3 linked regions of the Coturnix japonica genome follow. The protein of the gene in region 3 purifies or fractionates together with the protein of the main gene of each other region. This does not show direct contact. Links are inferred from orthologs where the notes say so. Each region holds a gene or a part of one and is shown on either strand. Other genes may lie near its edges.

Region 1 (7,366 bases), on a different chromosome or scaffold from region 3:
AGTCCTCTTAAATTTCCACCTTCTGTAACAGCTTTGAGAGAAAATGGAAACACTGAGAGACCTGAACAGGTTGTTCCTGTTAAATCAGGAGGAACAAGCAGCGTTCGGCAGGACGGGCTTTGCCCACCATGGAAATGGAAACACTGACACTGGGCAGTTGTGCAGGAGTGTGTGATGGACAGAGCGCGGCAGCCCTCACAGAGCAGGCAGCAGCTGCACTCCTTGGCTTGGTTTATTTTAAAGTCACTGCGATATCAAGAGCTGCCACAACAAACTGACAAAAGAAAACCCACCGACATTCATTTTCAATATGGAACAAAACAAATGTTGCGAGGCTAAGCCTGTACAAAAAGCCAAGCTCATATCCCCTTATCCAATATGGAATAGCACAGAGCTCTTCTCATGAGAAATTTCCAAGCAGTTTTTAAATCCAAATTTTGAGATCTAAGAAATAATAAGAACATATAAAACCGAAGACTTTAAAACTTCACCCCCAAGAATTATGCTTTCAAAGAGCCCAACAAAAACCTATTTGCAATAAATTATTGGAAAGTGTTAAGTGGCCGCATGCAGCATTTGCTGCCAGCTGATCACTGCTGCACACACAGCCAGCGTACACACATGGAGCTTCTGAAATCATCTGCAAGGCCTGCACTGTACTTCTGTTCTAGAGCAGTCCTGTCTATTACTCCAAATCCTCTTGTAGAGTTCAAGTATTTTGATCATAGCAACCCGTAAAATACCCTTTTAAGGCTTACCATATTCTTTCAGAGATGAATACAGGAAAAAAACATATCTAGGAGTTGGAGCTCATGTTGTTCACATAGAAAGACACATCTGAGTTCTGCAGCCCCAAAACTTGTCAGATCACTTCCCTAAAACCCTCTCCAACAACTGTCATGTTCAGGTCTCTCACTTCTGATGATGCCTCCTGACAGAGCTCATCCTGCCCCGCTTTTTGATTTCTGTAGCCATCAGTTAGGGCAGAAGGGTCAGTGTACAGCAGGCTGGCCACCTTTATAGATGCATGCATGTAAGCACACTTCAGTGCTAGCTAAAAACAACTGAACAAAACTGCTGAAGGATGGCAGCAAACCTCAGCAGAGGTGAAGCCCTTGGAAATCCACAGCAGCATCAGCAACACTGGCAGCAAGAATTACAATTCTTCCATGTGGATTTTAAAAACAAGATCCCAAAACAAAACCCACTTTTCCTTAAAACATCCTCTCCAAATTCCCAGGCAATATTTTTAATAGCTTTCTATTGTGTTCATCTTTCCTTTCTACCACATTTTCTACAGTTTGCATATAATTCCCATGGAGTTCAACTTCCATCTCACCATCATTCCTGTTCTTGTTTTACTTCCTTTAAGTTCTCTTCCACGGTTTCTGGTTTTACGGCTGTTGAATTCTGTTCTTCAGACACGTTTGATGGGTTCTGTTTCATGTCTTCTTTGTTGCTCTTCACCACCTCCTGTAGATTGTATTTTCTGAATAGAACATAGTCTCTCACCACACTCAAGCAACAAACATTCTTTATTATTTCCACCACAACTGTATATTGTGGATTATTGAGATCAACTTTGTTTTCTGGGTTAAGGCTGCCCACAATTCCTGTAAAACAAGATATAGTTTAAAAGATGTTGGGAAAACTGTTTCAGAACATCAGCGTGCTCTCCTGAAAGGGATACAAGTCAGAGAAGATAACATCCCTCTGCTCGTAACCAATTATTACTGACTGCAATTGTGTAAGATCGCAGAACAGAGAAGGATTCTTAAGAAATACTACCCAGAGAACTACAGTAACTAAGAATTATCCTACTGCAACTAGCAAGAAACAAGATGCCAAAGCATGCAACTTGTTGCAGAGCTGTTTTTCAAGTCCCATATTAAATGGAACGTGTATTTTTCAGTATAGTGCTCAGAGAAAACAACTTGATGTAGTCATTTCTAAGCACATATAACTGACACACCAAACTGAATTCACTACTGCACGCCGTTCTGTTTTGTCACCTCGAGACATCGACAGGAAACGCTCATGTCAAGCTCTTTCCACAGCCTCAGAGATGCCTTTACAACTCAACATGCAGATTTTAAGCAACAAACCTCCTCATTTACAGCACTTTTCCTCAAACAGCCTAACCCACGTTATGCATGAAACTGTGATCTGCTTGTATACTCAGATTCAGTTCTGTATGTGATCTATACGTACCTGCCAGCTCCTTAATTACTTCTTCTCTATTCATATGACTGTTATTACGAGCTTTGTAAACGATTTGGAACGTACTCTTATTGGGGGCTTTAAACCAAGGCTCAAAGAACGTTTCTGTGTATTTTTTCATATCTTCCAGAAAAGCTTTGCAAGTTCCAGAAATGGGCAGCATGCGCAGAATGACTCTGGTTTTCTTCTTTTTAGTGGTATGAATGTCCTTTAAAATATGGTGCACCAGGTTCTCAGGTTCTACAAGGAAACAGCTAAGTGTAAGAATCAACCTGGAGGCATCTTCTCCCTTGTTCCCCCCTATAACTATAAGCCGGGGAAATACATGCTTATCTGCACTGTGCTCAGCCTCAATCTGAACATTCCCTCTCATCCTATCACTGTTACCTGGGATCAGAGGCCAACCCCCAGCCCTCCCACAGCCTCCTTTCAGGAGCAGTACCGTGCAGTAAGGTCTCCACTGAGACTCTTCTTGAGATTGAACCATCCCACTCCCCCAGCTTCCTCCTATGAGCCATGTGCTCCAGACACCTCTCAGACCCCATTACTGTTCTCTGGACACACTCCAGGTCCCCGATATCTTCCTTGCAGTGAGGGCCCAGCAGCGCACACAGCACTAGGGGCGCAGCCTCCCCAGGGCTGAGCACTGAGCGCTGCCCCCCGCCCCGTCCTGCTGGCTGCTCTAGTTCTGATACAGCCCATGATGCCGCCGACCTTCCTGGCTGCTCCCCCCCCCCCAGGAGAAGCCCCGGCCCCGCGTGGCCCGTGATCCCCGCGGTGCGGCCCGCGCACACGCACCTATTCCCTGGGTACGGATGAACACGACGTTGTTGGCGCCGCTCTCCACCGACTGGAAGCGCCGCAGCCGCCGCTCGGTGGAGGCGCGGATCTGCCCGACCTCCTTCTTCAGCGCGGCCTCCGCGTCGTCCTCCTCCTCCTCCTGCTCCTCCTCCTCCCTGTCGCTCCCCGACAGACGCTCCGCGGGCTCCGGCAGCTGCGGGCACACGGTGCGTGTCCCGCGGTCAGCGCCGAGCGGAGCCGACACCCGGTACCGAGGGACCGGCCCGACCCAAACCCGGTCAGCGGCACAGGGACACGGCGGGGACACGGACACGGCGGGGACACGGACACGGCGGGGACACGGACACGGCGGGGACACGGAGCGAGACCGCGCGGCCGCCATCATCGTCCTCATCCTCCTCCTCATCCTCCCCCCCCCACTCCCGCCCCCGTCGGACGGGCCGCACTCACCTGCTCGGGCCCGTACAGCAGGTCCCCGTACTCGCCCAGCAGGCTGTAGGCCTCCCCCACGCACTTGCGCTCGTTCATGTTGCAGGTGATGAGGATGCCGCGCATCCCGGCCTCCAGCTGCCGCCCGGCGCCGCGGGGCCGCTTGGAGCGAGCCAAGAACTGCGACTTCAGCCGCCGCTTCCGAGCCAACAACTGCGGGGCGGCCATGGCAGCCTGGAGCCGCGCGGAGAGATGACGTCACACTGCGCGACTCAGCACGTGGCACCGGGGCGGGGCGGGGCTGGGGGCGGGGCTGGGCGCGGGGTGGGCGGGTGCGGGTGCGGGTGTGTGTGTGTGTGTGTCTGTGTGTGTGTGTGTCTGTGTGTGTGGGTGTCTGTGTGTGTTTGCGTGTGTTTGCTTCATCCCGCGCTCTTCATTGCTCGCCCTCTAGATGAAGTCTCTCCGTTGACGCGTTGTACAATCAATAATAAACAGAGGTTACACGGATGTTTGGTTAAGAAAGAGGAAAAGGCAAAAAGAGCCTAGAAATGCCACGGCCGTGGGCAGAGCGCTTACAGAACGCTGTGCCAGCTGCAGCACCCCAGGAATCAAGTCACATCTGCGCTGCTGTAGTTACGATCTGCTGTTCCTTGTGCTGCCCCACACACAGTGTAACAGCCTGGAGTTGGCTGCAGCAAGGCTCTAAGGCTGCACTTGTCCGGAGCCAGGGGTAGGAACTGGAAGGAAACAGGAGAGATTTGCACCTTCACGTCACTCTCTGCTTCCACTCTGAGCTCTGCAGAAACCTGTCAGCTCTTCTCTCCAGATGGGACCTGTCTGCCCCTTGTGTGAGTCCAAAGTACGTGGAACAGAAGCAGCCGGCTGTCACTGAGCACAGCAGCAGTGCCAGGGGAGCTGTGCAACCGAAGCCTTGGATTTGTGCAAGCAATCAAAGCTGCAGCGCATCTCAGCTGCTGGAGGGCTGAGAGTAAGAGGTGAGTTGACAGCCCCTGCTCAAGGTGACCAGCTCCCCAGCCAGCCGTGCTGCTGCTGGACGGGACACTTTGTGGTACTGGAACAAGACTGATGTGCCTCTTACCTGTCTGCATTCCTTGTTCTCCTTGCCTCTCCACACCTTCCATCTCGCTGGGATTCTCTCCTGTGTCTGTCATAAACAGATTGAATGTTATAGATCAAAATCTGTCCCTTTGCTTCACCAAATTGCTGAAATCATGTGGGTTTACGGCTGGATGATGATTAATTCAGCAAGGAGTTATCAGTGTTTGTATTATTTTGCAAACAAATGTCAACGATGCATGCAAATAATGTTAGTTGAGTTTTCTGCCCTCTTCCTAAGCTGACGGTAGAGAAACACAGCTCTGCATTTTGAATCCCTTATCATGGAGTCTTTCAAACTTTCCCCAGCTCAGACAGAGGTGGATTTGGCTGACTGCACATCAAAGCAGTGTTTAAAACAGCAGTACTAAAACATTTTCAGGGCTCTCCTATATGCATTGTACTCTTGGCAAGCAGCATAACCCCAGCACTGATGAACTGGGTAAACTGCAGATGCCTTTGAAGCAAGTAATGCTGCAATCAGCTAGTAAACTCATGCGGGACTGTAGGTTTTCTATGCACCATCTTAGTCCATGCTGCTACTTCAGTGTTGTCAGTTAGTAGCAGTCCTTCCATTCCCAGCAGCCACACTTTAGGTGCTTTCAGTGCCCCTCCTATGTAACAGCAGTGCTGTCGAGCACCATCCAGCAGATGGATGGGAGCTGTGGGGAGGGAAAGGCTGTGACACATGGATACGCTGCACTGCTGTCTGGCCTGAGTGTGGCAAGTTGGGTCAGATCTCAGCTGTGTGATGATCAGTGGGAGCAGGGACCTACAGCAGCAGATCCAGAACTGTCATCACCAGGTATTCCAGATACAGTCATTGTTATTCCAGCTCATTCCACTGCATGGTAGTAAATGCTGATTTGAAACTCCATGGCTAACACCAGGTTTGTATCTGTATATCTGCAGCATTTCTTGGAGGCTGCTTGAGTTGCTGCTGCTATGCGGTGTCTCCTGAAGGCCCTGAATGTTGTGTCCCTGCACGCTTCCCTGAGAAGATCTCGCCAGCTTTGCAGCCAGAGCTCTCCAGCTCAAACCTCGTTTAGTTACGAACTCATGAAGCAACAGTACAGACCAGAGGTGCCAGAGTACTTCAACTTTGCGAGCAATGTGTTAGACAGATGGACCGAAGTAGAAAAGGTAACAGCTACTCATCTGCTCTGCTGCTGAAGAGCTGAGCTGCCAGGCACATCCATCCAGCACGCTGCTGTAGTTATGCTCCGGCTATAATCTCATGGCCATCTCATGTAGTTTGAACCTGTAAACCCCCTAGGCCACATGCTGCCCTGTTTGTGGGCCTGAGCGATTTATTTCTTTAATGAGTAACTCTGGGGACACTGACCCTGAGTAAATTTGTGCCTTAAGGACAAGACCAACTGGAGCACTCTGAGCCTTGCACCACTTCCCCTAGCAGCTGTGACAAGCACCCAGCCTGTGTGTGTGAGGCAAAGCACTCAGCCCACACACATTTCACTGCTTGCCTGCAAAATGAGTAACACCGTGTGTTGCCGAACCTCCCACTCTTTTCTGGTCATGAAATGTTTGCATCAGGAGCTATCAGTCCACAAAACCAAAACACTTGGAGTGCCCAAACAGGCACAAGCTCTAAGCAAGGGATGAACACCTGAAGAGTTTTGCCCTCTGAAGTACACAGCAGAACTCTTCTCCCTGGAGATGAACCTTAGTGTTGTTCTACCTTCAAACAGAAAACAAGATGCCATGTTCTTGCTGCCTCTGTGAGGTTTTCTTTGCTCAGGAAGCGACTTGTACAATGTCACTGCTAAAGCAGCAGTCCCCTTAAGAGCACACTGTGTACATACATTTCACTTTTCACACATCTGTTAGCTGATTAGAGGTCACGCTGTGCTTCTGAACCTCAGATCTAATCTCAGAAGTAACAAAGAGGCCCAATTCAAGAATAAGTTTGAAATGAACTCAGAGAGTTTGTGAAACTGAGGCACAGCTCAGCTGCACCTGTGTCCATTGGCAGCTTTGTTTGTGGCCAGGAACAGAAGGCTGGACAGCCTCTGCAGGGGGAAACACCATGAGCTCAGGAAAGGAATGCAAATTTAATTTCTAACATGATATTTGTAGGCTGCTCTTCCTGATGGAGAGACTCACTCGTTTGGAGCCATCAGCAAATTTCAGCTTCATCCCCAGATTCCTCCAGCGCTGAATTAGTGCCAAATGCTTTGTTTCCTTAGACCTAATTAAGGTACAGGTGGTATGTTCCTAAAGTGAAGCTTTTGCCTTGTACCCTGTCGTTCTATAGGAGGGAAAAAAGCCTAAAACCCCCGCATTGTGGTGGGTAGATGGTGATGGAGAAGAGGTGAAGTGGAGCTTTGAGGAGCTGGGAGTGCTGTCCAGGAAGGCAGCCAATGTACTTTCTGGTGCCTGCAGTCTGCAGTGCGGGGACAGAGTTCTTCTGCTTCTGCCACGGATCCCAGAGTGGTGGCTGCTGAATGTGGCTTGCATGAGAACAGGTTGGTGAGATCATACAGGTGGCGTACGGGGACAGAAATCATGACTTAAACCAATCCTTGCTACTTAATGCATGCAGAACTAGAAACATGCTATTAAGGATGAACTAGTAAAACAAGGGCACCCTTCATGCCAAATGTGGCATTTCTATGTAGTTCTGCACATGCTCTAGATATTAAGGAATCACCATGAGTCCACTCTCCCTGGGCATTCTCCTTTCTCCAGCACCAGTGATGCATCCCAAGTGCACCTTCTTGCGACCTTGCAGTGAAGTTGGCCCACATTTAGCCAAGTGTTTCACGTGGCCCCTGTGGGA
Region 2 (7,489 bases), on a different chromosome or scaffold from region 3:
AACAGCGCAGATCAGCACAAACAACTGCTGTAACCTACTTTACTGTACAATTACAGACTGCATTTAAAAGATATATAAAGAAATGTAAACTTGGTCCCTTAGAGAACACCAGCAAATGCTAAACAAACAGAGCAGCATCAGAGTGTTCCTAAGCTCCATACTTCCCACCCATGAGACTGAACATGCCCCCTGCTAAGGTCACCAAGCTCAACCCAGCTGGATTGTTCTGTCTCCCCACTCAATGTGGAACCTGAATGCGGGTCATTAGAACAGCAGAGCAAACTGCTGCAAACTTTCCTGGCTGGATTATGAAAACAGGGTGGGCAGGGAATCACAGAGCAGCTATTAACAGCAGATTTTTCTTTAATGTACTGGACAACTGGCAGATTAACCTCTCTGCCATACTGTGCATGGTATTACACCACGTGTTCTTGGATGTATTTTGCTTATGGGGAATATCAAAATGTCAACCATTGTTTCTGTTAAAGGTCTTTAATGATATTACATTTTAGACCTGTAATGAAACATGGTGCTCAGTGCAGTTTGTAATGCATCTCATTAAACACATTAATAACATGCGTTTCACTGAAAGGTCAGCTTAGTATTGCTGGGAGTTCGCCTTCTTTTCCTTAATCACTTCATTTAAAGCAGCTGAGCTAACTTTAAAACAAGGAGTCTCACCTGCTATAACTCCAAATAAGCTGATTAGCTACATGCTCAGGTCAGGTGTGAGCTGGAAGATAACAGTCAAACACTGGCTTAGGGGTAAGGCCCACAGTCAGGTTGGATCATGGCAGAAGTTCTTGATGTAGTTCTAAGGTAACTCATGGCAGCCTAAGTCAAAGTTTCTCAAACACACAGGTATCAGTTCTGCACATACAAACCGAAGCATTAATAAATTAAACAGATGAAGTTGAGCACCTTGTGTTTATCAGCCGGAGCACGCAGATTTTACTTACCATGTTCAAGAATCTACTACAAGTCTCATCAGATCAGTATCATTAACAACGATCCTAAAAACATCTGAAGCAGCTCCAAACTGAAGTGATATTTGCTGTTGCTTTGACAGCACAGGCCCTTCTCTTTTGTGCTGCATTACTCCTGATTAGGGCAAATCATTGCAATCACAGACCCAGCACAGAACTGCTATCTACACAGTGTCTCAGGACAAAGAAGCATCCCAGCTCTACACCAAGCAGCAATAACCAAGCCATTTACTTTTAAGAACCAGCACAGAAGAGATAAATGAACTTCAATACCCACATGAAGCAGAAACAGCAGCAGGACCCAAGCTGAGGCTCACCAACATCACATAAGAGACAACACAGGCTGTCGGAGATCAGTTAGACATAGACAGACATCAGCAGTTCCCATACACTCATTAATGATTAAGGCAATATAAACTAACAGCTACAAACACACGTGGCTCAAAGCCCTCACTTTCCTATTAATGCTCTCTCACACATATAAAAAACACACCGGCTACAGCAGACTCTATGCAAAGTAAGAAGTTAAAAGAATTCTTACAGCTCTCCACAGCATTGTCGAATTCCTGTCCACCTTCCTTTCTGAAGAGGGGGAAAGTATCTGGCTGAGGAAGCCGGTTGGCTATTACAAGTGCCTTCTGCATCTTGATTCTGCCTTCCAAGATGTGATCCCACAGTGCTTCGTAAGAGAAAGGGGGGAAAAAAGAAGTTATTTCACAAGCCAAAGCACCTGCTCCTTCCCCATCCTATCTGTGATCCTGACTGCAACCCTGAGAACCACAAAAACTCCGTTGTCTTCACTGGTTAGAATGGACTTGTAAATGGACAGTGGTAACTTGACTGAATAGACTGGAAGAAACTTCAGCATTTGAAGAACGATAGCAGATAGCACCACAGCACAGAACTAACAGTGTAAAGTCCCCCTTCCCACCCAAACTACAAGTACATTCAGTGTGGGTTCAATTAAGCCAGCAGAGAAGTATACTCCATAATATGAGATTTTGTAGGAGCGGTGATATCAATGTGCATAGCACGTTTAGTGCAACATCTGCAAACAACACAGGCTGCTGTAGCTTGCACACGCACTGCACCAACAGCAAGTTAAAATGCTGCAGTGTCTCCTGTCACGGGCAGCGTCTGTAGTGTCAGCAAGGTGAATCTCATCAAAACACACAGCAAACATGCACTAACCCAGCTGATTCTTCACCGCTTTTCCTTTTTCCACTTCATCGCTCGCTTGTCCTTTGGAGAATGTCATCACCCCCCCATCATCCTCATTGTCAGTGGCGTCTTTTACGTGGTCATGGTTTTCCCCCTCGTATTTCTCATCATCGCTTCCTTCTTCCATGCTGGCATCATCTTCATCTTCTCCATCACTGCTCCCAACATCATCCATCCCCTCTGCAAATTTCTCAAAGTCTGTGACATTCTGGAAACTGAACTTTGGTGCTTTGGCAGAGGAATCCCTCCCATCATCTTCCAGGTTATCCTCCTGCTCACTGCCAGCACTGCTGGGTTGCTCCTCTGTTTTACTGCCCAAACTGCCATTGTCTTCTGAATCTTCACTGCCGCTGTACCACTCATCTAAGGCTTCTGCAGCTATTAATTCAAAGAGAAAAACATCTGTCACTCTGCCGTATGCAACAACGATGGGTACTGATCTGAGCACTAAACTTGGTTTAATTTTTCATGTTGACCAATTAATGATAAATAAGTAAATGAGTCTATACCCAGGAAAAGATCTTAGTTCTTATCTTCTATAACAATAATTAGTGACATGGTAATCAAACGGGTGTTCATAATTTGCTTTATGTATCTGTCTTTAAAATGAGATGTGCTTGCAGTCATCGAGATATATTGGCCTTAAAGTGACAACTACTTCTTTCCCTTCACACAGCATTCAGCCTCACCTCAAGGTTATTCCCAGCCCCTCCTCCTGAAGAAGGAGACCTCAATGGGGGATTTCCTTTCCCTTCAGATCAAAAAACATGGCCTGAATTTCAAGAAGGCACCTCAAAAAGACGCCCAACTTATTTCTACCTGTTTATAACCCCCCACCGTGGACTTAAAGCTTCTCATCTCAGTTGAGACAGCCCTAATTTGGTCTAGCATGCCAAAACTATAAGTATCCCAACTAAAAGCATAAAGAACTAAGATTCCTTACCAGATCCTTCTTCAGACAGCGCATCTCCCCACAGCTCTTCCCTCAAGGCTTTCCGAGATGTCGCTTTCCCACTGTACCTTTTATCAGCTTCTAAGAGGGCGGCCGAAGCGTTTCTCCGTATCTTACCAACAGGTAAAACTTCATCTGCAGCATCATCCTCAAACCTGTCGATCACTTTAGCAACTGTGGCTGTAGGAAAGGAAACAAATACATAAACAGAACTGAATTTCAGGCCAGAAATCGCCGCTTCTCCCACCCTCCCGCACACCTCAGGCCGCAGCTTCTCATTAGGGCCCACCCGGTACCGTGCCCCCCCCCCACTCTCACGGCGGCGGCTCCACGTGCAGCCTCGGCCCGCAGCCCAGTAGCCTCCCCCATCCTACCCCAGGCCGCCCCCCGCCCACACGGAGCCCTTCCCCGACCCCTTCTCACCTTCCTCCGCGTCATCCTCGGGGTCTCGCAGGTCGGGCCGGGGATTGAGCAGCTCCTCCAGCTGCTGCGCTAAGGGCGCCGCCATCTTGCCGAGCGGAGGGGGCGGGGCCTGGCGGCGCGCGGGGCCCAGAGGGGGCGTGGCCTAAAGTGGGCGGGGCCTCATAGTGGGCGTGGTCTCAATTGGGGGCGTGGTCTCCGTCGAGCCGTGTCCGCCCCCTCTCGTTCTTTGTCCGCGTTAAAGTACGCGGTGGTTCGAGCGGAAACAACCGCCATAAAAGAACCGAAATCCACCATCCGAACCCCCCCCCCCCCCCCCCCGGCACCGGGCTGACCCGCCTCCATCGCTACTGTCATGAGAATTCATATGTGCTGAGTGCTGGAAGGCACGAGAATGATGGGCTCTTACAGCACAGCTGTCCTATATAACTCAATATATATCTATATATCTACTACTTTTCTTCCCCCCTCCACCCCCAGTCTGCACACCCCTGCCATGTGAGCAGTGGGGGCTGTAGGGCACTGCCCACACCTGGCACGGCTCTGCTGCATCCAGCACCTGCAGCTTCGTGTGGGACCCCAGCAAAGCGATGTGGGATAAGTGACCCCCTCCCAGCCCCCAAACACAACGTATCACCTGGAAATGGTGGCTGGGAATAGAGGGCGGTGCATCTCTTGTGGGCAGTGAGAACGGACCCAGGTCGGCACCTCAAACGTGAGCTGTAGGTGGGGGCTTAAAGCTCCCACCCCTCCAGGAGCGGCCCCAGGAGGTCTATTGGGACCCCTTGTTTGGGATGGCACCGGCAGGTTTGTGATGCTGCAAAGTTCAACTGCATCGAGCAGGCGGTTCGTTCATCCCCTTCCTGCCAGCACACGGCTCGCCCTCACCACTTCTCTGCTTCTGAATGTTACAAAGATTAATCCCGACATGCATTCTAATTAGAGCACGGGAAGGCTCAGGCCAAGCCCGGCGCTTCTCCGCGGCTCCGGGATCCAGGTTGGTTCCCCCGAAGCAGGAGCGTTCAGTGCAGCCGCTCGTCCTACAGAGGGCAGAGGAATATCATTAATTACGGGCCCGGCGGCTCCCGCTCCCTGCCGGCCCGCACGGCACCCGCAGGAGGAGCCCGGGGGGCACTTCGCCCCTTTTCCCCCCTCTCCGGTGCCCTTCGGCTCCTTAGGAACCCGTGCATTACCGTCTGCTGCTGCGAGGACTGCATCTCTAGTTATATAGAAACTCACTGGAAACACACGTTATCATCACAAACAAAACCCCTGGATTTTATGCAGTCAAGTATTTACGGTTCCATTTCAACTTTATTTTGTATTTATTTTCTCGTGGTCTGAGTGACAGCTCTGATTCTCTGCATTATATTTGAGGTGTTTTATTATATTTGCTGTTGCTGCCGTGATGTGAAATTAAGGCTCTTCCACATACGTTACAGACGTTTCCAAAGCAGAAGGTGCAAACCGCCATCACTTCTGCATTCTTTTCCCCCTCCAAGTTCACAGCCGTGTTGTTTCCAGACTAAACGATGCCGTTACAAACAAAGGGAGGAGAAATAAATCCAGAGGAAGTGAAGGAGCAGAAACAAATGCTTACCTGAGCAGCTCCTGAGACGTACTCAGCCAACCACAGAACCACTGGCCATTGCCCCATGCATAATTGCATTTTCAAAGCTCTGCACTTCATGGAGTGAAGAAGGGATGTTTCCGACCCCAACAAATGATAAATAGCCCCTCAATAAACGGAGGGCAGCATTTAGCAGTGCTTAATCAGAACGTACCCAGTGTAATTCCTAAGCAATACACAGAAAGTTGTGTGAGTCCTAAGAAAAACGTTGGCTTCTGGAAGCTAGTTCAGATAAGGACATGAAGCAGAATCTGTGGTATTTAAGTCCGTAGTTGTTAAAATGTTTCACCAGCACAGGCTCCTTCTTTACAATCAATTCTCTCTCTTTTTGCCTCCCACTCAGTGGGGTCATTAAACCCGACTCTCAGACTTGGTTTTAATTCCTGGTTTGCATGCCCTCAAATCACGCTGCTGTGGATTTGGTTCACGACCATTTTCTGGACAAACACGGTATCTATCCTTACCCTTTAATTTCAGACCATCACAAAAGCTGTGATGGAAACAGCCGCATGGCCGTGCATCCCACCCAGCCCTCCACCTGCTTAGAAGCTCCAGGAGCCATCAAACTACCCGACATCATTTCTCCAGCTTGCTTCCTCTTCATTCTACTTCTCATTTCCACACTTATTTGCTAAAAGGGGAACAAACCCCACACACATCACATAAAAACACGGGGATTTTTGCTGCTATAAGAGGTTTCCATTTCTCCCACCTATTGGTGGACCATGTCACCTTCCAGGAAACTTCTGGATTTGGCAGCAAAGGGCTCACACTGATGTGCCTGTGTTTGTTACCCTCACACCTTATTCACAGAGATCCTTTTCCTTTCTTTCAGTGCATTCCTTAAATACGCCAACAAAGAAAAGCAGCAATCCATCCCAGTGCTCCCATTGGGCTCCAGGGGACCCACACAGCAGCAGCCCCCACATGTGCTGTGTGGCATTGGCAGCAGCAGATTATGACCCACACAAGGATGGTTAGTGCCTCAACACAGAGCTGCTCTTCCCTACATGTAATTTTCCAGCCCGGCCTTTACTCGTTTTAGACACTGTTTCATTCTGAGATGTTCTCTTTGTATCAGCGATTCAATTTGTCAGCGAAAAAGGAGAACAAGAAGAGGAAGGAGATGGGGGCAAGAAGGGAAGAGCGCACACCAAACCCATCTGCTGCAAGGAAACACATTACAGCCAACTCAGGCGTCTGTAATAAAAATATCTCCCTATAAATATTTGTTTATACTTATGGATGAATTTATTCACGTGCTTTGTTTTTATTTGAGTATTTCCAATATCTCTAATGATCATTCAATCAAAAACCACAACTGTTTCCAAGATTTGATCAACTCTTAATTGTTCTTACACCTCAAGATGTGATGAACGCAGCTCACCCGCATAGACACACGGACTGAGGATGTTCCTAGCAGGCAGGAATTTGAAGGCAACTCAGCGACAGCCACAAAACCTTTTCAGATGGAGCAAAAACCTATTTCTTGCCCCAGAGAGAACTCCCACAGTGAACCATGCGTGTGCATTCTGGAGCACAGAGAGGAGCGCAGCACAGAACCTCAGCACACACAGCCCAACCCCACGGGGTGGCTTCTGTCCTGAGGTTCTCCCTCCATCTCTCCCCATATCCAACATGTGTGGCTGCAGTTCTGTGTCTGCCTGCAGCACAGCCCGCACTGCTCCGGCCTTCAAACCGCCGCAGTGCCGTCCCATTAACAGAGCCGAGCGGTGAGTGCCAAACATGGTGAGATACCATCAGCCTCTCCAACAGCAGCCATTCTGCAGGAAGCACGCTGGTTCTAAAATCAAGCAGGAAAACAATCTAGTTCTCATGGCTCCCAGTAACTGCTGAAAGAGTGCACTGAGCACCATCAAAGCACACACACAACCCTGAGCCCCATCCAGAGATGCCCCAAGGATCAGCACACAGAGGGCCAACCTGAGTCAGAGTGCCCTTCTGGGGCTGTGGTACGGCCACCACACAGCTCCTGCCCAGCAGCCACACAACACAGGGCTGCCCTTCTTCCCATCACTGCCGTAATGAATGTAAAGCTCTCTGGACAACAAGCAACTCAGCATCGTAAGCCGGGTCTGTGACTGAAAGCATAACAAATACCGTTTCAAAAGAGGCCGTCAGAAATCCCACATGGATTCGTACTCAAAATATATTTCTTTAATGGTTCCATTAATTTTAGTTAGAACTTCAAGAATATCTTGTGGTCATCTGGAACATAGAGTACGGACATAAATAAAAGCACCTTCAGCATCTGCCCCG
Region 3 (8,208 bases):
AACTTTTTAAATGCTGACTTCTCCAGATCAGCTTCCTGTCTCCATTTTAGCCCTCTCATTTATTCTCATCCTCATACAGAAAGTCACCACTATAGTCTTTGAGCTATTCTGTCCAAACAATTTTTCAAGAACTCTAAGACAGCTTCCATCGACGTTCATGCTTTCAGACTTGGTTACTTGAGAGATGAGACACAAATACCTGCTCCTACAGTGATTTGTCAAGCACACGGGATCTTGTATTTAAGTACTACACCAACCTGATCCAAGGTTTTACAGCCATCCACCAGAACTCCTACAGGCTGTGTATCCTGCAGGCTCTCCTTCAGCTCTTTCAGCTCCAAGTCTTGTGGCCGGAGACTATCTTCCTATAAACACAGAATTTTCCATAACAGGATTAGTACGGGACACCTCAGCACAATTACACTTTTGTGACATCCTGGGATATCTTTTATCAGGTAAAGAAAGATATCTGAAAGAAAGCGTTACCACAAGTTGAATAAGCTCTCTAAAGAAAGGAAAGTTTAAACGTGTAGACAGATACTTAACAATTCAATTTTAATGCATTTTCAAAACAGTGATGTATTATACAACAAGTATGTTGGATTCCCCAAGCTCGGAAGAAAAAAGCATAGTATTTTTCAGTGTGTGGTAACGGGATAGTGGCAGTGATAGAAAGAAGAGACCACAGACAATTTTTTTCTGAAGAATTTAATCCATTTTTCAGTCTTCAGGATAAGCCAAAATGTTACGATCTTCATTATACCTGTCATATGGGATCTACATACTGTAATTTAAGAGGAAGCAGCAGCAATTGGTCAGTTTTCTAACCAATGCCAATATTCTGAAAGCCAATCAATTAGCTCAGACACAAAAGAAATCCATTTCAAGTAGAAACAGATTCTGAATTTCCTAATTGTCACTGAAAATTCCAAAGGCATCTGTCTATGCCATTATCTGATATCAATCAGTGTGAAAGGAAAGCCGTCTCTTTTTCAGCCCTTTAATGCTTTTCAACTCAGACTAGTTTCTCCCAGTGAGAAGTGTCTGTCATTGCTTACTGACCTGTGACTGTGGTGGAACAGGTGTGATGTTTGCAACGTGACTGGAGATGGGCAAGATATTCAGCTGATCATCAATCACGATGCAATTCTTGCATGAGGCCAGAGACAGAATGAACCTGAGCAGTCAAGCAAAGGCAACTCAGTAAAAGCACTAGCAACACTACTGCATCTTGATGATTAATTAAACCTCTGTTCTAAGTGTTTACAGCAACAGCAGCTTAAAACTAAGATGAGACAAGTTCACATAACTGGTAACATGCCTCTTATCAGGATAGTTTATGCAGGACAGACATCCACTTACAGGGGAACACGCCTCCAAAGAAAACTGCTAACATATGATGATCCACCAAGAGAACTAGAAAGCAACTTCCAGCATTTAAGCGGGAGGTGGCTGCATAGAAGTTCAAGATAATTGTGACAAATGCTGACCACCAGCAAAGACTGTGGTCAGCGCCTGGTTTATTCATCCTTCTAATTTCAGACACCACAAAAATACCCCTTGCATGCAAAAGAACGATTTTTTCCAATGGCTACAGCAGGGGCTCAGTCACTCAATAACAACTTCATTGATACAACAAAAGGAGAGGAATCACCTTTAAACGGAAGTTCTAAAGCCACAGAGAAGACTCCACAGTGAGCAGTTTCATGTTTTATAGTAGGTATAGTAAGCACCAAGTATCTGAATTTCCTTATCTAGAGTACATGTTTCTATGTAGCATTTCAATAACAGAACTCAGAAGATTTTACAAATCTGGGAAAATTTGCACATCCTTTGTAATATAACGCTAAAATTTTGTATACAGTTTCTCCAACAAGATATAACATTCATTCCAGGACAGTACATATAAACTTCACAGAAGCAGCAAAGAATCCCTAATTCTCATGCAAACTTACAGGATACTTTCCTGATATGAACACATGATGTTGCTCTAGGCACCCTTCTGACACACACTTTGAATGCCCGATGACATACCTTTCATTAAAGCGTCCTACCACGTCCTGATGTGCCTCTGTTCTATATCGAGAGTGGACATCCTGAAACAAAAAGTCAGTCTGGAGAAGGAGCAGCAGTAGCAGAGACACTTAAAACATTATTACCTCATGGGACAATCCCATTTATTTTCCACCCTTGTGGACTACATTCACTCTCTCCATCAGCGCTGCATCCCAGACTGGATTCTGACTTTGTTTGCTGAGACAATCAGATATTCCAAATACTGCTTTAAAAACATACTTCTCCCACCAAGACTTTTCAGTGCAGTCTTACGTATTCTTGTCTGATTTAAAGGCCACATCTACTACATACAGAACATTTAAAGCAGCACAGAGATGCTAAGTAGAAATAATTTAATGCTTTAATTCACCTACTGGCATTATAAACATGGGAATGGTGAAGCTCTGGGTGACTTAGCACTGGGCCAGAAAACACAGCTATGTTTGTTGGCAGCACAAGGAATGGTGTAACTGCACAAACACAAACCTCACTCCAGGTTAAATGAAAGAACCAGCAGCAGAAGTAATGGAAAGAAGACTCCAACCCATAACAAAAGCAAAAACTAAGCACTTAACATCACCAAATGTACCTGCCTATGTAAAACAGACATATTGCATTGAACTTACCATGGTCATTGTATAGAGCTGCTTCAGTGAGTTCATTGTTCTCAGCAGAATTACTACAATTCCACCCCCTTCCACTGTTTCTACAGTTCTAGCCAGCAGGTTTGGAGTCAAGGCTTCAAAATCCTTGGAAATGAAAAAATAAACCTTAAAGTTGCCTAGAATTCTCAAGTGCAATAGCAGCTACTAAAAAGAAGAGAAGAACTATAAACATTTATCAGAGTTTGAATTAAACTTAACATTTGCATTAACCAACTTTCCATTACAATTCTAAGGCTGTGACCCCCCACAAAACTCATAAGTAAGGCCATCAAAACTTAAGTAACAGAAGCAACAAATAGAATTACTGCAGCTGTTCAACTCAAAGCAATCAATACTAGTGCAACATCCTTTACGTAAAAAGCTGAATTCCTTACCTGAAGCACACACATGCCAAAAGTGTTACCAAGGATCTTATGAGTTTCATTGTAATAGCAGTAGCGAATGTTTGTGGCTGCTATAAACAATTCGAAAGGATCATCATCTTTTATGTTCAAGGTTCCACTTTTAATCTTCTTCTGCAGTTGCCTCATTCTCTTCTTCCGGTGGCTGGAGAATAAAACTCCATGTAAGTTTTTCTGGGAAATGGTTTGAGAAGACTCTGCTCTCATTCCTAGTTTCAAGTCTAAATGGAATTCAGAGCTCGGGCTCCAAGGAAAAGTCTTGCATTACAAACACTGTACTCAGGGTATGTTCCCCAGTGCCTTTGGCCCAGAGCAGCACAAACAACACTGAACCAGCTGTTTTTGGAAGAAATCATCTGGTTGGAATCACACAGTTTCAAGTAACCCTTCCCAGTTTTGTGCCTGGACTTCAAGTATGATCGCAAATCTAAGAACTAACGTTTTAAACCCCTTTTTGAAATGAAAGCAACTGTAATGCCTCATCTGTACCCAGCTGTACATACTACTGAGGCACTGAAGTTTTGGCTGTTTGAGATTAGAAAGGTGAGGGAGAAATTGGCTCAGGACAACAGGGTTAGTGTTGAAACTACATAAGGAAACCAGAAGTACGTAGCACTGATGCCAACCATACCAGTGAAGCCAAATCTTAGCTCTGGAAAACTGAGCATCCTGTATCTGCTGCAAAAATAAGACTTGTTTCTCCTGATAATCAAATCAGCCCGTACTATGCAGAGCAGCCACACAGCTTCCCCTTCACACAGAGTACTACTGCAACACGAGATGCAAAAGGCCCCTTTACCTGCTAAAGCCCAGCTCCTTCTTGTAACACCACAGGACGGACGGCCTGGCCTTGACAGTTGCTTTGGACAACATGTGGTGCAGTATAACCACCTGCCAAGACACAGAAATATCAACGCATGATTGTATTCATAAGCTAACAAGGAGCAACATACATTTCAGCAGGGTCTGCTGAGACAAGACAAGGGCAAATGGTTTCAAATTAACAGAGTGGATGAAAGGAAGAATATGTTTATAGTAAGGGCGGTGAGGCGCTGGCACAGGTTGCCCAGAGAGACAGCAGATGCCCCATCCCTGTAGACACCAAAGGCCAGGATGGATGTGCTCTGAGCACCTCATCACACAGAATCACACAGAATGACCCGGGTTGGAAGGGACCTCAAGGATCATGTAGTTCCAACCCCCCTGCCTGGCAGGGCCACCAAACATACACATTTACTAGATCAGGTTGCCCAGGGCCCCATCCAACCTGGTCTTGAACACCTCCAAAGACGGGGCATCCACAACCTCCCTGGGCAGCCTGTTCCAGGGCCTAACCACTCTCCTAGTGAAGAACTTCCCCCTAACATCCAACCTAAATCTTCCCTCTTTTAACTTAAAACCATTTCCCCTAGTCCTGTTATTGTCAGCCCTTTAGAGTTTACTCCCCTCCTGGCAGTAAGTTCCCTTCAGGTACTGAAAGGCTGCAATGAGGTCACCCCGCAACCTTCTCTTCTCCAGGCTGAACAAACCCAACTCCCTCAGCCTGTCCTCATAGGGGAGGTGCTCCATCCCCCTGATCATCTTTGTGGCCCTCCTCTGGACCCTTTCCAAAATCTCCATGTCTTTTTTGTACTGAGGGCTCCACACCTGGACACAGTACTCCAGATGGGGCCTCACAAGAGCAGAGTAGAGAGGGACAATCAGCTCCCTATCCCTGCTGACCACCCCTCTCCTGATGGAGCCCCAGGATCCCATTTGCTTTCCGGACACCAAAGGCCAGGATAGAAGTGCTGTGAGCACCTCATCAAGCGGAGGCGTCCCTGCTCATTGCTCACCTGGTCCTTGCCGCGGTCACCTACCACCACGAAGAGGCCCCTCTGCCGCTCGGCCACCCCGTTCTCGATCAGCACCCGGATGCGGTTGTCCACCTTGCGGCGCTGCATGTTGCCGTCCGAGCTCTCGGCCCTTCTCCCCTCACTCCGTGTCCCGGCCGAAACCGCCGGTTCCACAAGCAGCGCCCGCGGAGCTGCCCCCAACACACGTGGGAGCCGCGCGGCGCAGGGCGAGAGCGACGCCGCTCAGGAAGGACCTCGAGGAGAGGCTGCCCCGGAGAGCGCCTGACAGCGGCGGCTCCCTCAGCGCGGGGCGAAGGAATAAAGGGGGATGGGGGCTGAAGGAACATGACTTCTGGTGCAGCTGTTATCCTATTAAGAGCTGATACTCATCAGTCTCACCCCAAACAAGCATTACTGTTGAGTTAGAACAGCATATTGCTAATACAGTTCTCTATAGCACTGCTCCAGTTGGCTTTAAGATGTGAATATGGGAAACTATTTTCCTTGCTTCCATTAAGGCTAGACCTACAGAATCACAAACAACACTGATCACATCATATTAAAAAGCCTAAGAAAACAAATAGAACAGCACCTCCTAGATAAGCCATTTAGGAAATTAGTTTCTTATCAGAGGCTCTGTGATACCACACCTGAAATCCAACATACCCAGATTATGAAATTATGTAGAAAGAGACAGAAATCCAAGATGCTGCCTCTAAATCTTTATATAAATAGATGAGGGTCAGAGCTTTCTTTCAGGTATAGTCTTCAAGCTTCATTAAAAGCCCACTTACAGCTTTCCCCTCAGGTTACATTCCCTAATGCTTAAATTAGATTATTTGAATGCAATATCAATCCCCAAACAGCCAGGTGCAGTGCTAACAGTAAACATCCTCTTTGCATCCTTTAAGATGTGCTGATTGGGATGAAAAACATTTAATATGCCACAAAATGCAAATAGTTGCAGCTGGGACAGCTTGAAGGACCTTCTCCCTCCCCCTCTGAAAAAATCATCACGGCCAAACAAAAGGAGTTTAAGTCATTACCTTTCTTCATGAGCATAGAGTGTGCTGATCTCACATTAAAGAACGGAATATTCCCAAAGGTAACGTAAAAGCTTCTTGTGCTTAATCCTGCAGCTGAACGTAAGGAATGTGACATTAGTATAAGACTAATTGCACGCTTAGTTTCTGATGTTGCGATGGAATAAGGTAGCCTTATGATTTACAGAAAGAATTACAAGGATCCCAAAGCAGTTTTGCAAGGCATTTTCTAGAAGATGATCATAACTATATTTAAGCTTAAGTTTTAAAAAGAAAACCACTATCTCTTGAAGCCCAGAAGGAAAACTTTCTTGTTTAGGACTTCTTGCTTGCAGCTCAAACAAAGCACTGATTTTCAGGTCACTCAGAGGTAAAAGATAACTACCCATCTTATCTGCAGAACTGATGGTGTCAGCTCAGCTGATTAAATGCCTTCATTGTTCTACACAGAAGGCAGATGGAACACTGTAACAATAAGGTACGCGGATCTGAAAGACTGAGGCAGTTCTGTTCATTTAATTGCAAACCTCATCTCCATCTACGAATTCCTATCTTTATAGTCCTCAAAAAGTTCATTCAAGATGAGTTTTGCATGGACAAGAGGAAGGAGCTTTAGCTTTCAAAGTGTGACTCCGATGGTCTTTCACAGAACTTAACGAGCAGCTTCTTCACGTCCCTTATTACCTACAGCAGACTTGAGATAAGGAGAAATCAGAAGATTACAGCACAGTTTTGCCCACTGATGCTTAACATCTGCATCTCAGATAAGCATTTCTGAGGAATAATAATTGCAAAGAAATGGTTTAAAAAGAAGAAATCAGCTACCTGGCTCGGCTACTGCCAGACCTTCAAATAAAGACCAGGAAGGTCAAAAATCTTCTGATCATTTACCTTATTCTGCTGGATTACGAAGTTTTTGCCCTATCTGCAGTTAATCACAGGAAGTTTTTGTTTATTATTTGTTATTATCACACTTTGAATATTTGCCTAGGGTTAAAGCCATTTCAACACCTCCCTTTCCAAAGTCATTACTCAAATGCCATTTGGGAAGAGTACAGCTCGCCCATTCTATACAACAATATACATTAAGGTAACCTCAAACCTAATCAGATAATCTACCTAAATTATAAGGTTTGAGAAGACTTTTAAGGTCCTGAAATTCTCTGAAAGTTACAGAGTCCCAGCAGTACGCATCAGTAGCTCTTAGCCTGCCATCACTATCATTCTTGCAGCTAGTCTGGACCATGTCTGATCATAAGACTTCAATGCTTCACTACTATATCCTGACAAGAAAAATCATAGTTAAGCCTAGAATTAAGAATTATCTTCATAGCAAAATCCAACATTTGTATTGGTGGGCTGTTCTTCAGAAGAGAGCCAATATATAGGGAAAAGTAAGTAGGACATGGTTGACCTTAAGTACAAGCAGCTCAAGATTGTCCAGAAAGGTCTTAAGTGTCCCAGACACAGCAATATTAGGCAGAAACATCTGGGAAACTCTGGAACCACTTTACACATGATTTACTCAAGAATCCTTTTATTACAGACTGCAACGATAAAAGCTGGTTCTCAAACACACTGTATGTTATCACAGCCTTGCTATGTTGGATAATGAAGTCCCAGTTAGGAATAAAAACACCTCTCTCGTAATAGCTACACATGCCAGAAGACAATCATTACTTTCTGTTATGCTGCAAAGAGACCAATTCAGAGAAAAATAAAGTTAACTACCATGGAAACAATTGGTGAATCTAAATACAGAAGTATGGAATTTGCTCACTGGTGTCCAGAAAGGGCTCTACAACAGAACCAGGCCAGACCTGCTACCTATTGCACTTTCTTACCATCATAACTGTTTGATGTTCAGAAGACAGATTTGTTTTTCCTAAATGAAAGCGATCTAGAATTGCTTTTGATCCGAATGCAGCTCAGATCTATTAGTCATCTAAGCAGTGAAGGTACTTAAAAGCTCTCAAGTCCTCTCTCTCAATAGCTTTTTAAAACGTGTAGCACCACACTTGCACTGCAGTGGACCAAACAAAGAAAACAAGCTGGGCCCTTACAATCAACCATGAAGCTGACTGATGGACCCCCTGAACAGGCCAGAAAACCAGTTAATGAATCTACGTGCCATAGTGTGACTCGAGGCAATTTTTCAGTATACTGTTTATTAGCTGCATGTATTGAGATTAAAGGAGTCAGTGCAAAT

Evidence for each region.
Region 1: the proteins of NAT10 (region 3) and THUMPD1 purify together in Homo sapiens (co-immunoprecipitation; 3 studies listed by BioGRID and IntAct, counting the BioPlex papers as one, with this or other methods). This does not show direct contact. The link is inferred for Coturnix japonica from reciprocal best matches to the Homo sapiens genes NAT10 and THUMPD1.
Region 2: the proteins of NAT10 (region 3) and AATF purify together in Homo sapiens (affinity purification with mass spectrometry; 3 studies listed by BioGRID and IntAct, with this or other methods). This does not show direct contact. The link is inferred for Coturnix japonica from reciprocal best matches to the Homo sapiens genes NAT10 and AATF.

What each region holds. Positions count from the first base shown.
Region 1 is NC_029529.1:12,664,396-12,671,761, forward strand, and holds the start of THUMPD1 (THUMP domain-containing protein 1), read right to left. Parts: upstream 3,719-7,366; 5' UTR 3,679-3,718; coding exon 3,472-3,678; intron 3,215-3,471; coding exon 3,019-3,214; intron 2,461-3,018; coding exon 2,212-2,460; intron 1,614-2,211; coding exon 1,342-1,613; 3' UTR 1-1,341. Other genes in the region: acyl-coenzyme A synthetase ACSM3, mitochondrial-like, read left to right, coding at 5,512-5,709, 6,842-7,052. UniProt on the Homo sapiens protein: Functions as a tRNA-binding adapter to mediate NAT10-dependent tRNA acetylation modifying cytidine to N4-acetylcytidine (ac4C).
Region 2 is NC_029534.1:7,136,423-7,143,911, reverse strand, and holds the start of AATF (protein AATF), read right to left. Parts: upstream 3,719-7,489; 5' UTR 3,668-3,718; coding exon 3,583-3,667; intron 3,340-3,582; coding exon 3,151-3,339; intron 2,586-3,150; coding exon 2,178-2,585; intron 1,666-2,177; coding exon 1,528-1,665; intron 1-1,527. UniProt on the Homo sapiens protein: Part of the small subunit (SSU) processome, first precursor of the small eukaryotic ribosomal subunit.
Region 3 is NC_029520.1:6,321,737-6,329,944, forward strand, and holds the start of NAT10 (RNA cytidine acetyltransferase), read right to left. Parts: upstream 5,206-8,208; 5' UTR 5,065-5,205; coding exon 4,957-5,064; intron 4,013-4,956; coding exon 3,921-4,012; intron 3,267-3,920; coding exon 3,095-3,266; intron 2,805-3,094; coding exon 2,682-2,804; intron 2,097-2,681; coding exon 2,035-2,096; intron 1,178-2,034; coding exon 1,063-1,177; intron 366-1,062; coding exon 258-365; intron 1-257. UniProt on the Homo sapiens protein: RNA cytidine acetyltransferase that catalyzes the formation of N(4)-acetylcytidine (ac4C) modification on mRNAs, 18S rRNA and tRNAs.